Linked DNA regions of Arabidopsis thaliana. The protein of the gene in region 1 interacts with the protein of each later gene in a pairwise test. Each region holds a gene or a part of one and is shown in the gene's direction. Other genes may lie near its edges.

Region 1 (4,698 bases):
TCATTATGATCAATCATTAGAACTTTTAGAATTTTAACTTGAATAAATGATATTGTATGCAGGGACTCTGGTCCGGAATGTTGGCTGGAGTTGGTATCCAAACGTTGATATTGTGTTATGTTATTTACAAAACTGACTGGGAATTGGAGGTAATTTACTTTTAATATATAACTCAAAATTTTTATTAGAAAATTCGTCATATTAAATGTATAATTTTATCTAATTACAGGTTAAGAAGACAAACGAGCGTATGAAAACGTGGACTCTAAATTTACCTGCTGTACAATCGACTACTATCTCCACAAGAGATGAAGAGAGAAAGTGAACATACAACTAAGTTAATTTAAAGAAATCTTTTAAGAAATTCTTTATAAAAAAAGAAAGAATAATTTATGTTGTATTGTGGTTGTGTTTTGCATTCCCTAAGAATGAAGTATCGGTGTTGAGATTGCATTATTAGGTTAATGCAACTCTCATAACTTTGAAAAAGGTTAAGAAGGATGAACTTTTTCTTTTATCAGAGAAAAAGGTTGTTCTCTTGTTCTTCGGATATACTCTTTCTAAACAAAAAAAAAATTGTGGGAGGTTTGAAATTTTAACTTCTTTCTTGATTTTTTAATGGATGTATATTTTGTGTGTGGGGAAAAAAATTCCATTTGTTTGAGTGCTTGTAATCGTGAATTTTTACAAAAAAAATATTCTCATATATATTTCGAGGAAACGTTACAAACTTTCATAAGCTCACCATCAAATAAAATACTCATTTATTTATGTTGAAGTCAAAACGTTCCATTTTTCCCCCTATTTATGAACCGATCCTAATGAATGTTTTTTTTCTTCCTTTTTACTTCTTTCATATCACCATTTTAAATAATAATAGTAATTATTATTTTTCTAACGTTTAAACAAAAAAAGAACTGCAAATTTTATAGTAACAATTCAAATTTAACAAAGCGATCAAAACATGCATCATTTAGTGTACAAGTACTAATCACAAAGAAACAAGTTTTGGTTGGACAAAGTATAGAACAAACACACTAAACTGAAGAAAATAGAACTTTAGCCCACCAAAAGTTGAGGCTAAAACTCGAGCAGTAATCACATAGTTACTATCAAGATAACTATACTTTGGAATGAAAGAATCTGAATCTCGATGAAGTTTATCTTGGAGAAGGACTTTCTTTTCTGTTGGTTTGGATGAGATATTGCTGAAAATTATTGATGATGATGTTAGGAGATCCAACTAAGTTGTCTGCCTTTGCAGTGCACTTGGAGACTTGGAGTGAGAATCTTAGTTTATGAGACTTATTTTCTGATTTTTCAATCTCCTTTGATTTTTTTTTAAGTTGTAATAATGTCCTAGTTGATTTCCTTGTAAAAGGAGCAAGAGCACGATGTTCTTTTATTTCTAATTTAAAGAAAATGTTTTCAGTTTAATATATTTTTCGATTTAATTTACCTTCACATATTTTCTTCAGTAGTATTTATTATTTTCATATTAGTAATTAGAAATAATCTCTTCTAATTAGATTATAAACGTTAAGAATTTGCTGTATTCAACTTTTCCTATTGTGATATTAAAAAAAAAAAAAAAAAAGAGAATCCAAAAAAGTGAAAAAACTGGTCTTTGAGGTCAGGTCAGGTCTTCTTCCTGCAAAAACAAAAACCTCAGAAATAGAGAAAAAGTTTCAATCTTTCTTCATCTTCTTCCTCCAAAATCCTTGATTTCTAAAAAGGAGAAGAAGAGAAGAGAACGCGATTACCTTGATTCACCCTCCTCCTTCAGGTTTGGGAGGCTCGAATACTCAGGAAATGAAAGGGGCAAGTGGTGCTGTTAAGAAGAAACCCCAGGTGTTGAACGAAGCTGGTGAGGCGGAGACGGCGGTGGAAACAGTCGGAGAAAGCCGGAAAATTAGTGGAGACGGTGGGTTTGGCAGTGACGACGGCGGAGGGGGAGGTGGAGGTGGAAGTGGAGAGTCGATTCTTCGCGAGATTGGTGATGATAGGCCTACGGAGGATGGAGATGAAGAAGAAGAAGAGGACGAGGATGAAGATGATGGAGGTGATGAGGAAGATGAAGAAGGAGAAGGAGAAGGTGGGCAAGAGGAAAGGCCAAAGCTTGATGAAGGGTTTTATGAAATTGAAGCTATTCGTCGTAAGAGAGTTCGAAAAGTAAGCTCCTTTTTTCGTCTTCACTCAGCAAATGTGGTTTGTTTTTGTTAACCATAATTAGTTGAGGTTTTAGGTTTTCTAGGTTTAAGATAAGTATCAAACGTAGGTTACACATTGGTGTGAGAAAGTGGCTGCTTTAGTAGTTAGTAATCATCGTAACAGAGTAGTTTATAACGAACCAAAGTTTTGATTCTGTGGTTGTTATATGTTGTAGGAAGAAAATGATCTTTAATGTTTGATATCTTCTTGGATTTGATTGATTGAATGATTCTGATTCTGCATTTTGGTACTGTTTTTTTTTTTGTATTTGTAGGGCAAGGTTCAGTATCTAATTAAATGGTGAGTTTTTCTAATCTTACTTGGTTTCATTTTTAAGTTTGTTGTTCTTGATTAAACATATGTTTTTCCATTGACATAAGTTATAAACTCGGTTGTGAAAGGCGCGGATGGCCTGAAACTGCCAACACATGGGAGCCTTTAGAGAATCTCCAGTCTATTGCTGATGTTATAGATGCCTTTGAGGGAAGGTAAGTAAATGGAATCTTATATAAAAGTTTTGTGATACTTTTGAATTGATTGTTTCATGGATTTTCTTGGTTTAATGTATGGATTTGCTTTCTTGTTTCATATGTTTCAAAGTTTGAAGCCAGGAAAGCCTGGTAGGAAACGGAAGCGCAAATATGCAGGTCCTCATTCTCAGATGAAGAAGAAGCAACGTTTAACATCTACATCACATGATGCTACTGAGAAATCTGACTCTTCTACGTCTCTCAACAACTCTAGCCTTCCTGACATTCCTGATCCACTAGACCTAAGCGGTTCGAGTCTATTAAATAGAGATGTGGAAGCGAAGAATGCTTATGTATCCAACCAAGTTGAAGCCAACAGTGGGAGTGTTGGGATGGCCCGACAAGTTCGTTTGATTGACAATGAGAAAGAATATGATCCAACACTTAACGAGCTACGAGGACCAGTCAACAATAGTAACGGTGCAGGATGTTCTCAAGGAGGAGGCATTGGTTCTGAAGGTGATAATGTAAGACCCAATGGCCTTCTCAAGGTTTATCCTAAGGAGCTTGATAAGAACAGTCGTTTCATAGGTGCTAAGCGGAGGAAGTCTGGTTCTGTGAAAAGATTCAAACAAGATGGATCCACAAGTAACAACCACACAGCACCTACAGATCAGAATCTGACACCAGATTTGACTACATTAGACTCTTTTGGTAGGATTGCAAGGATGGGGAATGAATATCCTGGTGTGATGGAAAATTGTAATTTGTCTCAGAAAACCAAGATTGAGGAGTTGGACATCACGAAGATACTTAAACCAATGAGTTTTACAGCATCTGTATCAGACAATGTCCAGGAAGTGTTGGTGACCTTTTTAGCGCTGAGGTTTGTCTCTTTAGCTCTTTGGTCATTTCTCGTAATTTGATTTCATATTTGTACAATTGTACTTATTTGGTTACTCTCATAGGTCTGATGGGAAGGAAGCATTGGTGGACAACAGATTTCTCAAGGCTCACAATCCTCATCTCGTAAGATTATCTTTATAGCTTTTTTTTTCTGCACTTACTCATTTGGAAGTTTCTTATTAGCTTTTCTAATTTGTTTTTCCCACACCAGCTGATTGAATTCTATGAGCAACATCTCAAGTACAATCGAACGCCTTAAATCATCCGGAATGGTAAGAATTTGTTTGTACACAGCCCTTGTAGGTAGAAAAGATTAGATGGCTTCTTTATTCTAGCAGTGCAACATGTAGAGTCGAGGTAGCGACAATTGGATTTTGTATCGCGTCTCCGGGAGGTTTCAGATTGTAATTTATCTCCTCGGGTTCGTTGTGTTCACTCTCTATCTCTATCATAGTAAATCTTGTTACTTGGACCTTTGCTTCTTATAGCGGAAGTTTTCTTGTACTTGCTTCTTCAAAGATCAAGTTCATGATATGTTGATGTTATCAAAATATATGTGATCAATCAATATATAATAATTATGTTTACAAGCAAACCAAGTAATTTTTTTTACTTTCGTATGACATTTCGCTGATGTAATTTGGAATGACGCTCTCGAGCCAAAGGAACTGGAAGAAACTTGATCCTCTTGGGATTTAGTTGTTCCTTATGCAAGAACTCAGTTTCATATGCTCTTCTTTTCAAAATTCTTGCGTCATCAAATGCCTTTGGAAGATCCAAATCAGAACTCTGAATTTTGTCAGAGTCATTAGAGAACTCTTGCATCATGTCTTTGAGTGATATAAGGTGTACCGCACATTTTTTAACCTCTCCAAGCGGGCTAAAGGAATCTCCTTCTGTGTTTTCGACTGAGAATTCAAACAGGGCTTCGCTGTAAGCTTCCATGGACGTGCAGGTTCTGCTGAATAAGAGAAGGTGATCTGATCCAAAATACATGTTTGTGAAAGCTTTTGGATCAGGATACCACACCTCATCCATAACAACCAGCTCACAAGCATCAGCATCTTTTAATATACAAGAGCAGTGTATCTTCAGATTGTTCATCGGGTAC
Region 2 (4,702 bases), on another chromosome or scaffold:
ATTGGGCTCATTTTCAGCGTGATTTTCATGGGCCAGTTATACTAGAGGATCAGTTCAGACCTTATCCATATTTGGATTATTTTTTCTTTTATTCCTCTTTTTATTTTGTTAAAATGATATCAATTTCTTACATATACTCCTTTTTTAGTTCACTAAAAAAATTAGTGAGTGGATAAAAATAATTTTATTTCTTGGTGAAAATTCTAGGAAGAGCATCATTGACACCACCACTATTCTCACTTGCTTTTCTTTATTTCCCTTGATATGACATTCAATTCACGAGTTGTTTTTTTGTTCCTTTTCTCCTGAGTCGGCTACTTTTTTAATCGGATGCTTTGCTTTGTACTCTTTTAATCACAGCCGTCACATTTGCTATATCTCTATTCACTTCTACGGCTTTGATTAAAGCCCAAATTTAAACCTTATCGTACGATCTCAAAATCTTGTGCAACTTCAACATGTGTCCACTGTCTAGTTTGTCTGTGCGGATCTAGTTAGTGCGGTTAAGTTAAACCGGAGAGGTTCAGGTTATGTTAACCATGGTTAAGGTTTTGTCTGACAGTGAGGGAAGAAAGTCACGGAGTTGGGTAAAACGGCGACAAGATATGACTAGAGACACACTCCTTCTTCAATTTCCTAAATTACCCTTCCTTACTTGACCGGAACTCTCACTCGAGATTTTTCTACGTCGGCTTTATCGTAATATCGGTGTCACACGTACGTGGGAGAGACATGTACATTCTTTTCCCCCTCCTGAAAAACCAAATAAAATAGCTTCAATCTTTGGTTGAAAAACTTGAAATATGTTCTTGATTTACGCTGCAAAATTATGTACATTTTTTAAGATCAAAGGACCAACTACAATTGTTTCTGCTAAAGTCTTTTCTTTTGTTATTTTTATCAAAATATGTTGATTTTGTAGATTTGAGAAAAGAAAATTTTTGATTAGGAAAAACAAACAAACAGTTGACTATTTACTTGGTTGGGGAAGCAAATTAAATTATACCATCGTAATCCACACGTACACATTGTTTTTAACTTTTGACAAAATAATTGTTTAGCTACCTAACAAATTGACATATTGTGTGGCAAATTTATAAATAAATAATTACATATATCTCACTGAGACGCCATGCAGATTCGTATGTTTATACAATGCCTCACCCATTTCTTGAATTCTCTCAATTGATCTTCCCATGATGTTCATTTATTATTTGCTTTATGTATATCTTTGTAGAATGGTAGTATTACTATTAAAGTATCAAATTACCATGACGACCTATAGAAAAATGTTTTTAGAAAAGCATAGGGATATGTGTCTTATGGACAGTGGATAAGAGAGTGGTCCTAAAAACAGACCATAAATTATGGGATCTTCCCTTAGTTCCTTTATTGTTATCATATTTTAATTACTCTTATTAGTATTTTTTTAATGGTCAAGTTGTTTATTGGAATTACGCATTTAATTATTTTTCTAATTCGTATACTTGTGAGAAACAGAACAGCACGCTTTGCTTCTTTTACTAGACAAACCCTTAATTAGCGATATTTGAGGCAGAAAAAAAGACAAGGTTGCGTGTGTTTTACTCCACAAAAGAACTCCTAAAACCAAAAACGTTAAAACCCACTTCTTTTTTTTCACAGTATTCTCTTTTCATGTCAAGAACAATTACTGTTTTTCTTGGTATGCAATCTGTAAATTTATTGTAGTTTTCATTTCTACTTTTGGGGTTTAGGAGTAAAAGTGGAGTCACTCTACTTTGCTTTACCTTTTTCTGAGTTTTTTTTTGTTCATACAAATCCAAATTTCCTTTTCTTTGTATTCCTATTTTTTCTCTTCTCGTCCCTTTCAGAATCTTTAGAGAGAGAGAACAACAAATTGAGAAAGAAAAAAAGGTAAGGCTGTGTGAGAGAGAACCCACCAAAGCGTGCACGAGAGAGAGAAAAAAAAAGCTTTGATTTTGTATAAAATCCCACCACTGCTCTCTTACCATACCTTCATTACACATCTCTCTTTCTCTCTCTCGCTCTCAGTTTTGTGGGATTGTTTCTTTAAAAGGGGTTCTTAGGGTTTAGTGAAGCTATAGATTTCAATTTCATACATAGTTAACGTATAGAAGGAATCTTGGGTTGATCAATGGAAGGTTGTCCAAGAAACAGAGAAATCGGTCCAAAACTTCTTGATTTGATTCCACAAGGAAGGAAATGGTACCAAGAAGACAAGAACAACACAGATCAGGAGAAGAAACTTGAGCTAAGGCTTGGACCACCCGGTGGTGATGAAGAAGATCATTCAGCAATCAAGAAGAAGAACACAGAGATAAGAAACATCAAGAAGGAAACAGAAGACAAATCTTTCCACTGTTTTAATGGCAATCACTTCTCTCCTTCCAACAAAACCACTTCTGTTCCTCACATCTCACAGAAAAGGTATAATCTCCTTTTTTTTCCTTCACTGTTATTTTTTCTTACTGCTTTGACAGAGGATATTCTCTTGAACATTAGGGACCCATCTTCTGCAATCTGTGTTTTTTTTTTTACCTTCACATGTTAAAAGTTTCAACATTTACTCTGTTTTGCTCTGTTTTTGTCGTTTGGTATTGACATATGTCTCTTGTTTCTTTTGATATCTGGTTCAAAGAACTGCTCCTGGTCCAGTGGTGGGTTGGCCTCCGGTTCGTTCGTTCAGAAAGAATCTAGCGAGCACAAGCTCTTCAAAGCTAGGTAACGAATCCTCTCATGGAGGTCAAATCAACAAGAGTGATGATGGTGAAAAACAAGTTGAAACCAAGAAGGAAGGAATGTTTGTCAAGATCAACATGGATGGTGTTCCTATTGGTCGTAAAGTTGATCTCAATGCTTACAACAGCTACGAACAGCTCTCTTTTGTCGTTGACAAACTCTTCAGAGGTCTACTCGCAGGTTAAATCTTAATCTCAAATTCTGTTTTTTAGTTCTTTAGGAGTGTTACTTGTGTTTACTGAGTATGATTTGTGTATGTTGTTGGTTTATAGCTCAAAGAGATATCTCTGATGGTCAAGGAGAAGAGAAACCTATCATTGGATTATTAGATGGGAAAGGAGAATTTACTTTAACCTATGAAGACAATGAAGGGGACAAGATGCTTGTTGGGGATGTTCCATGGCAGTAAGAATCTTTTCCCCTTTTGTTCTCTGAATCTGATTCAGTGTTTTGCAGAATTAGATTCTTGATCATATAACAACAAAAGTTCTCAGCTTTTAATCAATAGTAGTAGTAATTCAAATTGATAATTCTTTACCTAAAGAATAGAATTTTGCTTGGAGATTTGTTTATACCTCTTTTTTTGCATACTAACTGATCTTTAATCTTTGTTTTTAAACACAGAATGTTTGTTTCATCTGTGAAGAGACTGCGTGTGATTAAAAGCTCTGAGATTTCATCTGCCTTGACATGTAAGCTTCTGTTCTTATATGTTTAGATGATTTATTAGAGCTATATGATTAAAAGGGTTCCTCTGTATATTTGCAGTTGGATGCAGTAAGCAAGAGAAGATGATGCACTGAAGAGTCTTTTTAGAAACTTTTATTTCAGACAGAGAGTCTCAAAGCTTTATAAATGTACATCTGGTTTTTGTTATATATAAGAGTTAATCATTGGTTTTTTACTTTTTTTTTGGTCCAGAGAAACATTTGATCTGATCTGATATTCCCATGTCTTCAAGACACTAGACGATGAGATTACATAAGCAATCTGTGTTTATAAGCATTTTAATTAATTAAGGAGATAATTAGAACATACTGTAATAATTATCTCATGCATGTCTGCAAAACTCTTTTTGAAAAAAGAAGATGAAATTTTTATTCTCTGTAAAAGCTCTTTTAACTTTTGTTCCTTCCAACTTTGGCTATACCTTTAATCATGTAAAAAGCTGAGAATGAAAGGCCATTATTGTTGTTTTTGTTGTTGTCTTTTTTTTTCTTCTTGTTTTTACTATTTAACCTGAGTATGCATGTATATAAGAAGATAAGATTGGAAGTTGAAAACTCAAAAAAGACTTTTCAGAATGAGATCAGTCCATGTCGTGATAATTTTGGTGGCTATATCATCTCTTTTGTTCTTCTAGGTGCAGAATTTAGCAGCTTTTTATCCTGACTTTTTAAATCATACATACACATTGTAACTTATTGGACAGTGTCTTGGTGGATCGACTAAAACATCACTATAGATATGTTTAATTTAGCACATTGTTTTCGTGATAAATATATTCATACCACAAGCATCACTTGGCCGACTTGTATTCATCTTAAAAATTTTATTCGAAGTTGTCCTTCTCATTACCAGATGAGTGTTGTGGTTAAACAATATAACCATTGAAATTGATGCAGCCAAATAGTTTGATAATAACATTTTTTGGTAGCTAAATAATGGTATATGTTTTAACTTTTAACCAAACCAAAAAAGAAACATTTTCGAAACATATGTAAAGCGATAGCCGCAACATAATGAGTTGGAAAATTCCGTTGTTTCATTTGTTGCAAAATGTCGCACCAGTGCCGGCTCTAGGGGAGTGCTAGAGGAGCAAAAGCACAGGGTCCTCAATTTTTTTTTCAATTTTCTTTAAGGTTTTAGGGTCCAAAAATTACAGAAATTAAAAACCAATATTAACTAAAGTCAGTTTTTATAAATCAGCAAAAGGTCTTCAAAAAGTTTGAACCGGCCC

Evidence for each region.
Region 2: the proteins of TFL2 (region 1) and PAP1 interact in binary tests that used the Arabidopsis thaliana proteins (3 or more experiments, as listed by UniProt).

Annotation. Positions count from the first base shown.
Region 1 is NC_003076.8:5,826,652-5,831,349, reverse strand, and holds TFL2 (uncharacterized protein), read left to right. Parts: upstream 1-1,589; 5' UTR 1,590-1,812; coding exon 1,813-2,172; intron 2,173-2,485; coding exon 2,486-2,511; intron 2,512-2,591; coding exon 2,592-2,699; intron 2,700-2,811; coding exon 2,812-3,567; intron 3,568-3,649; coding exon 3,650-3,710; coding exon of another isoform or gene 3,711-3,728; exon of another isoform or gene 3,729-3,798; coding exon 3,799-3,846; 3' UTR 3,847-4,179; downstream 4,180-4,698. Other genes in the region: AT5G17700 (MATE efflux family protein), read left to right, coding at 63-149, 230-325; AT5G17680 (disease resistance protein (TIR-NBS-LRR class)), read right to left, coding at 4,197-4,698.
Region 2 is NC_003074.8:5,611,644-5,616,345, reverse strand, and holds PAP1 (phytochrome-associated protein 1), read left to right. Parts: upstream 1-1,542; 5' UTR 1,543-2,137; coding exon 2,138-2,430; intron 2,431-2,641; coding exon 2,642-2,922; intron 2,923-3,014; coding exon 3,015-3,147; intron 3,148-3,366; coding exon 3,367-3,434; coding exon of another isoform or gene 3,435-3,460; exon of another isoform or gene 3,461-3,510; coding exon 3,511-3,545; 3' UTR 3,546-4,143; downstream 4,144-4,702. UniProt on the Arabidopsis thaliana protein: Aux/IAA proteins are short-lived transcriptional factors that function as repressors of early auxin response genes at low auxin concentrations.